Danio rerio: one gene and its partner. The protein of the gene in region 2 interacts with the protein of the main gene of each other region in a pairwise test. Links are inferred from orthologs where the notes say so. Each region holds a gene or a part of one and is shown on either strand. Other genes may lie near its edges. The genes, in order: gab2 and ptpn11b.

Region 1 (3,826 bases), on a different chromosome or scaffold from region 2:
GGGCTAAAATCACGCAGTTTGAACTAGGCATAAGAGTAAGTTGCGTTCCGCCATGACGCATTTGCTATTTGTATGACGGATTTTGTAAGTGGAGAAACTGAACACTTCAATATTGAGAAAACAGTTAAACAGACCATCTGCAGCACGAGGATGAGCATCTTGTTCACTTTAACCTCTTTTCATCTTGTCTTGTCTCCTGTGTCTTGCTCATTTTAACAGTTTAATTCTCTCAAATTTGTCTCCTTGTTTTTGGTCTTGCTTAATACATGTTTTTTTCCTCTCATGTTGTTTTTGTTTTTTGACAAACCTGCCATTTTAAAACAGAAAACCCAGAGTTTCGTTCATTTACCCTTTTCCCATTTTTATTTCTCTTCTCATCTCTATTTCTCCACATTTTTAATCTAGTCTCTCCTTTAATCGGTTTCTTTAAATCCTGACATCACATTTGGTCTTAAGCTCACCTGGTCTCACTTAGTTTCCTCTCATATCTCCTTTTTTATTTTGGTTTCACTTCTAATCTTGTCATCTCTCGTCTCACATTTGGTTTAATCTTGTCTATGTTGGTTTCATGTGTTCTTTTTTTGCAGATTGTGTCATTTCTCACACTTGTCTCACATTACCTCTATTTTTTCCATCACGTGTCATGTTACCTTTCATATCTTCTCATTCTTTCTCCTCCTTATTTATTCTCTTTTTTATGTGCATCTTTCAGTTTACTATCATCCTTGTCTTTCCTTTTGTTCCCATTTCCACCCATATTCTCTTGTCTCTCTCATCTTGTCTCTTCATCTCTAATTCTCCTTTATTAGTGTTATGTTTTTGCAGAGTTCTCTCAGACGTTTGTCACTCTTTTCCCATTCTACAAAAGCTAATCCTGACCCCTCGGCTCTCTTTCCTTCTCATTTTTTTTTTCTTCTAAATGTACACATCTGATTTGAAACTGAGAGGCAATCTGGTCAAGGTTTACTCTGCTCTGCTACGAGGCTAATGAAATTCAAGCCATGCAGGCAGACCCAGAATGGCTTGTTCCGGCCTGATAAGCTGCAAGGGGGGAAAAAAATGAGCAGACACAATTCAGTGATTTCCTAGTGGTTTGTGTTCAGCAAGGCCAGACTAGTGTGTCTACAGGAACAGGAAGTGACCTTTTGACCATCCTTGCCTGATTCCCACACCTGCGTTTGGTGGCCATGTTCTCAAATAAAGCAGAATTTATAAAGGAACAGAAGAGTGGTCTGATATCTGATGGCTTTTCTTAGATTACTTTGTACCTCAGGCTTATTACTTGGTGGATTTATTTCTACATTTTCTTGCTCCTCTGTTTCAGGATCCTCGTTTGAAACCAGCAGTCACCAGAGGCCAGTCTATTTTAACAACTCTGGTCAGTCGGTGGAGTCTGTAAACGATGGATTCAGTTCTTACCTGGTAAAGCAGCTTTCTAGAACAATTGCATGACACATTTTCAAGGTCTATAAATGCTAACTTTTGAAAACGCTCTGTATTACATTCAGCATTTAGGCAAGGACTTGGAAAACAAAATACAAGACTGTTTGTGCAGACAAATCATCTTGCATGAATAATACAGCCAATACAGTTATTTTAACAGATACTGTAGATGTAAACTGGGACAAAACCTCAAAAATGTGAAGACTCTTTGTTGTGTAAACACATTATTATAATTAATTTGAAGAAAATGGTGCCATTTGAATGACAACGCCAACCTAATTTCACCAAGTAGACATCGGGGTTGATCCTGGAACGACATTTCAATCAGCCAATTAGAATTAAGGCATATGTTTACCGTTTATGTTATGTCCAGGCTCATGGTTAGGTTTTTGCACTTCTACATGATTGTTATAACTAATATTCCCATCTGACCTTAGGAGTAATTTACACTTATGGTTAGGTTAAGGGGTAGGGATTAGGTATGGATTGCATTTTCCAACAAACATGATGTTCCAGGATCAACATACTCACCGGCCACTTTATTAGGTACACCTGTCCAACTGCTTGCTAACACACATTTTTAATCAGCCAATCACATGGCAGCAACGCAATGCATTTAGTCATGTAGACATGGTCAAGACGATCTGCTGCAGTTCAATCCATGCATCAGATTGGGGAGGAAAACTGATTTAAGTGACTTTGAATAAGGGCATGGTTGTTGGTGCCAGACTGGCTGGTCTGAGTATTTCACTGCTGATCTACTGGGATTTTCATGCACAACCATCTCTAAGGTTTACAGAGAATGCTTGTTAAAAGAGAAAATATCCAGTGAGCGGTAGTTCTGTGGGTGCAAATGCCTTGTTGATGCCAGCGGAGAACGGCCAGACTGGTTTGAAAGGCAACAGTATCTCACATAACCACTCGTTACAACCGAGGTATGCAGAAGAGCATTTCTGAATGCACAACAAGTCCTTAAGGCGGATGGGCTACAGCAGCAGAAGACCACACCAGATGAACATGTCAGTTCACTATTCTCAAATCGCTTCCACAGTCACCAGAACCCAATCCAATAGAGCACTTTTGGGATGTGGTGGAACAGGAGATTTGCATCATGGATGTGCAGCTGACAAATCTACAGCAACTGTGTAATGCTATCATGTCAATATGGAGCAAAATCTCTGAGGAATATTTCCAGTAGCTTGTTGAATCTGTGCCACTATGGATTAAGGCAGGTCTGAAGACAAAATGTAGTCCAACCCGGTACTAGTAAGGTGTACCTAATAAAGTGGCCGGTGAGTGTAGATTTTAATCCAGAATCGCATCATACTGGGCAAAATTATGAAATGCTGTATGATAACATCTGAACTTGTAAGAAATCAACTTTAGCAGCATAAACCCAAGTGGGTATTTTTTGAAGTTGAATGTTAAAAGGTCAGAAGAAAATGATCTAATAGCTTTACAAATATAATTGTAACAGAGCACATTTTTCACGGTAAGTGCTTTGTGCAGTGTAATAAATTTAATTATACATGTGTGATTCTTTCTCTTTTTTTACATTTCTTTAGACACCATAATTGGCACAAAAAGATTTTGTTTATTATATTTTATTTTACAATTAACTTTAAATATAAAGAATCACATCTATAGTGTGTAAGTACAGATCACCAGTAATTAAGTTCAGTGTCCTGTTAATTATAGCTCTAGTAAGTCATAAAGACACAAATGACACCATTTCCTGATAATGACCTCATAACTCACAAAGTCACAAACTGACAATAACAAGTCTATTCAAAGTACGCAGGAACAAATGGTGTGTGTCACAGTGGTTTCCACCACTGATCTGGAAACTGTGTAAGCTGGATTGTTCTTCTTTCTTTTACAGAGAACTAAAGCCCCATTGACCCGCTCTGATAGTGCCGGCTCTGATGATAACTATGTACCCATGAATCCCGGCTCGTCCTCCTCCCCTCTCAGTGCTGCCCTGGCTGACAGTCCCAAAAATAACTATATTCCCATGAGCCCAGGTCCTCACCATTTTGATTTCCCAGGTTTCTCGGCAACATTACCAGCCAGGAAGGGTAGTACAGCATCATTGTGTCTCCGACCGGGGCGTCTCAGCGACGTCACACCACCACCAATCAACCGCAACCTGAAACCAAGGACAGGTGAGCACTGGCAAAACTACTCGTGTTTGTCTTCTGTAACTTTAATAACGTTTGGTAAAATGCTAAAATGTGTATCTTTTAAAACATAAAAGATTGTTTAACTTTGTTTTGCAGCAAAACCAACACCTCTCGATTTGAGGAACAATGGCATCATTGATGAACTTCCTTTCAAGAGTCCTATTACCATGTCTTGGACAAGGCCAATGTGAGTCTCTCTC
Region 2 (4,451 bases):
GCAAAACTGGGTGAGACCCAAATGGAAACTGCTGAAAAAACACACTGGGCTTTTCTCCCCTACTTAAAATAAGAGCATTGCAGCTTTATTAATAGATTATTAATAAACATCTCTGGAAATGAAATAGAGGTGATAACTACTGTACATGGAAAGAACTGCTAAAATAAGAGTGTGATGATGACTGGAGTGACAGAAGTGAATATATAGAATGTACATCACTTCATCACAACCCTCTCTGAGGTGCACTTTGGAAATTTAACCGTTTAACTGGCATTGCAACTGTTTGTCCAAAGATTAGCATTAAACTTTTTTTTTTTAAATCTAAATTTGCTTAGAGGGCTGTCAGGAACACAATTTAACCAAAGAAATTGGTGAAAATGTTCTCGTAGTTTTAAAAAGTCAGACAGTAAAGTGACAATCGATCCTAAACAATTATATAATATCAAATAAAAACAGTTTGGAATATTTTATGTTTTCATTATTTGTCTTCTTGGCAGATATTGGTCCTTGATAGGGTTTTATTAATACTAAAAATGCATATATAAGGCAATAATATAAATAAATAAATAAAGTACAAAATATATATTTAAAAGATTCATCAATATTATGCATTTCTTTCCTGGATTATCATTCTATATAATTAATACAAACTCTATATTATTACAAGTATAATGCTTTAAAAAAAGGCTCTACAGTGGTTCTTTGCCTTGTAATCATACAGTAGGAGACCCAATTTAGGTGATAAACTATAAAGAACTGTAATGGTTTTCTATTGGTTTTTTGGGGTGGTTAATGTATTGTAAAACAATAAATAACATTAGGTGGTTCCTTTATGATTACAAGCCAGAAAACAAACACTTTTAGTCATACACAGAAGTTTTACTACTCCAAAGAACCACTGGAGAAACATTATAGCTTCTTTAATCTAATTAAAATGTGTCCATTTAGCAGTATTGTTTTTTGTTTGTTTGTTTGTTTGTTTGTTTGTTTGCAGAATAATCTCTTATAGCCTATATGATTTAAATACACATAGTATTTAGGTGTATGATATGACTTTAGGCCTGCAGCTCATTTGTAATTATAAACAAACTGGATTGCAAATCCCATCATCCCATTCTGAGGAGTAGAGCCAGTAAAAGGAATCACGGTGTCAACTGGTGGCTGCCTGCTGGCTTCATTCTCCAACTAATCCTGTCACAATGTCCCAAGAACGAGCACGAGCTTTATAATACCTGACTTTTTGGAGATGTCTGGATGAAGTTTTTCCAGTGTGCTGTCAGCAGTGTGAATCGGAGAGCGGGAGGCGGAGGGAGAGAGCGCGAGTCCGGCGCTGTGAGTCTGTGTGTGACGCCCCTCGATCGCGCTCCGCTCCGCTGCAGTGACTCGGCGAAGGAGGACCGTTTTATTACACTTTCCCCTCCAGTCCTAGCGGTGCTCACACACACACAAACACGCACGCACACACACGCACGCACACACACATCTGACAGCTCTCAGGACGGCCATGACGTCTCGAAGGTAAGCCGAAGGCTACATTAATAAGTGCAGGAGCGGGTAGTGATGGTGACTGTAACTGTATGAATGAATCGAGCACGACACGCAGCTCAGTCTGTAGGACTCGGTTTCTGATCCTCTCGATCTGGCCCAATATATGTAACGTTACAGTATGTGTGTTCGCTTTTGTGCAGTGTTTATAAATATCGTGTAGTCTATCTTTCCGTTTATTTCGGTTGTTTACAAACGCTTTCGCTACCGGATATCGAATATGAATATCAGCAGCGCAAAGTCACTGTAACAGTGTGTCTTGCATGCAGTTTAAACTGTGCTTAATTAGTTTACTGTGCCAGTTTATTCGGAGACTTATGGTAACGACATCCTAATGTAACTGTACATCGTGTGCTGAAATAACAGTTTTAAAACACTTTAAAGCTAGATGAAATAGATTTGAGGAAAATAATGATATTAATAAAAATAGCCTTGTTGAAAGTTATAAGCATCGCTTAAAATATCTTTAGACAGAATTATGAATATTTTTTCTAATTTAAAATATTTACAGTGGGTGATCTTGTAAAATTTCTAATTTGTAGCAATGTGTTTCTGGGTTGGGACCATTTCATACACAATAGCTACATTTGATTGGACAGCAATGACCTATTTCAAAAATAAGAGTCTCCATGTAAAGCTGCTCATCTCAAACACAAAACGTCTCTTTACGTTAAACAACGTATTTCAAACAGGGAGAGTATGAATATTTAGCCAGGTAAGCCTTGAGGAATTTTGTAACTGGTTGCATGTTGCTAAACCTCTCGGTTTTAAATTTAGCCAGGCTTTAAACTTTAGTGTGTGTCTAACTTAACTGAAGTTTGCACATTCTTCTGTGACAACTTGTGACATGGTCCTTATATTTTCACTTTGAATATTTGGTCTAAAATCACATGTAAATTTGACTTCAAAACAACATTAGCTATACCTTGATAGACATTGGCTGCTAATATGATTTCATAATTAGAATTTGCAAATAATTCCTCTCTAAAATTATATTATTTAGGAGAAAGTCTGAATGTGTGTATATAAAACCAACTTTACACCAATCTTAAAGTGATAGTTCACCAGCAAATGAAAATGTAGGCCTACAATTTCCTCACACTCACGTGGTCCAAATCTTTAGTTTCTTTATTCTGTTGAAGATATTTTGAAGCAAGCAATTGTAACCATTGATGTTGTACTCTATGTTATTTGTTTTTTCTACTATGGAGGACAACAATAGTTTTCTTCAAAATATCTTATTTTGTGGCTTAGAACAGACTTAGAACAAGTGAAGCTGTTCATTTAAAGCACCGTGAGTCAAGTGCAGTGATCTGATTTGTTTCCAAAAGTTGGCCAAATGATTCTTAATGGGCCTATTTAATTCTAAAAGGTCAAATCTAAACATGGAGATAAAACAGAGGACTTGTAAATTTCAACAAATGAATATTTAGCCAGGTAAGCCTTGAGGAATTTTGTAACTGGTTGCATGTTGCTAAACATCTTGGTTTTAAATTTAGCCAAGGTTCAACTTTTAGTGTGTGTCTAAGAGACTCATTAAAAGGGATAGTTTACCAGCAAATGAAAATGTAGGCCTACATTTTACTCACACCCAAGTGGCCAAAACCTTTATGAGTTTTTTATTCTGTTGAAAACGAATTAAGATATTTTGAAGCAAAATGAAACCTTGTAACCATTGATGACGTCTTCTATTGTATTTGTTTTTCTTACTATGGAGGATGACATCAATTGTAACTGGTTTCCAGCACTCTTCAAAATATCTTATTTTGTGTTCAACAGAAGAAAGAAACTTTAGAATAAGTGAAGGTGAGTAAATTATGCCAACTTTCGGTTTTCAAAGAACTGTCCGTTTAAAGCACTGTGATGTAAGTCAAGTGCGGTGACCTGATTTGTTTCCAAAAGTTGGACATATGATTATACATAGGCCTTTTTATTTCTAAAAGGTCAAATCTAAACATAAATGGAGATATTGACAAGTTTATTGCATCTGCACAAAAAGCTGAAGCACGCAGATCAGTTATTGTCAGAGTTTGCACAGGTGGCCTTGGGTGAAAATGGGAAAAGACTGTTACTTTACATCAACATCATATTTCAAGATTCGGTGCTGGTGGTACAGTAGCTTCTCCACCAGCTTTCATTTGTCAGAGTAATAGTCTGTGAGCCTTTGGCCTTTACTCAGTCTTTGCATCATCTGTTATATAAATAATTCTGCCGCCAACAATTACCATTGACTATTATTAGCATCATTAGATTATCATTACTGGTGTCCTTCTCAATAACATTAAAAGAATAGTTCACTCAAATATGTTAACTCTGTCACCATGTATTATTATAAACACAACTTTTTTTCTCTAATAATGCAGAGTAGAGATGTTAGGCAGGTTCTAAGGCTCAGATACCATACCTTCATTCCATATGTTTTCATGCTGTGATAGAGTGACCATCTTTGGAGTTGCATGAAGGGGGAAAATTCATATTAAAGCAAAAAAGTAGGTGAATCTTGGTATTTCTTTTTGTAGAGATCTGTACTGTATGAAATCTGGTCTGATTTAACAGGACATAATGGAGGATGAATATGTTTTATGTGCAAAAGTGACAGGGATCTGTTTTGCGTTAATGCTATGGAAACAGGAAACTAAGCATTATTTTCATTTCAGATTTACATAGATTACATTTACAAATGCTTTTTTGTTTTTGTTTACAAGAGGTTTATTTGCATAACGGTGGCTAATAAATTTCCCTGCTGAAGATGTTTCTCCACATTTAATTCATTATCAGCCTGTGACAGGCAAAAGAGAATGTAATGTGGAAGAATTTTTCTTGTTCGCTTATCCAACCTGCTGTTTTTTTTTAGATCATAAAGCATTTTGTGTGTGTGTGTGTGTGTGTGTGTGTGTGTTTGTGTA

The links.
Region 1: the proteins of ptpn11b (region 2) and gab2 interact in binary tests that used the Homo sapiens proteins (3 or more experiments, as listed by UniProt). The link is inferred for Danio rerio from reciprocal best matches to the Homo sapiens genes PTPN11 and GAB2.

What each region holds. Positions count from the first base shown.
Region 1 is NC_133190.1:10,638,521-10,642,346, reverse strand, and holds part of gab2 (GRB2-associated-binding protein 2), read left to right. Parts: exon of another isoform or gene 1-1,324; coding exon 1,325-1,422; intron 1,423-3,325; coding exon 3,326-3,608; intron 3,609-3,722; coding exon 3,723-3,813; intron 3,814-3,826. UniProt on the Homo sapiens protein: Adapter protein which acts downstream of several membrane receptors including cytokine, antigen, hormone, cell matrix and growth factor receptors to regulate multiple signaling pathways.
Region 2 is NC_133198.1:26,857,258-26,861,708, forward strand, and holds the start of ptpn11b (tyrosine-protein phosphatase non-receptor type 11b), read left to right. Parts: upstream 1-1,349; 5' UTR 1,350-1,504; coding exon 1,505-1,518; intron 1,519-4,451. UniProt on the Homo sapiens protein: Acts downstream of various receptor and cytoplasmic protein tyrosine kinases to participate in the signal transduction from the cell surface to the nucleus. Positively regulates MAPK signal transduction pathway. Dephosphorylates GAB1, ARHGAP35 and EGFR.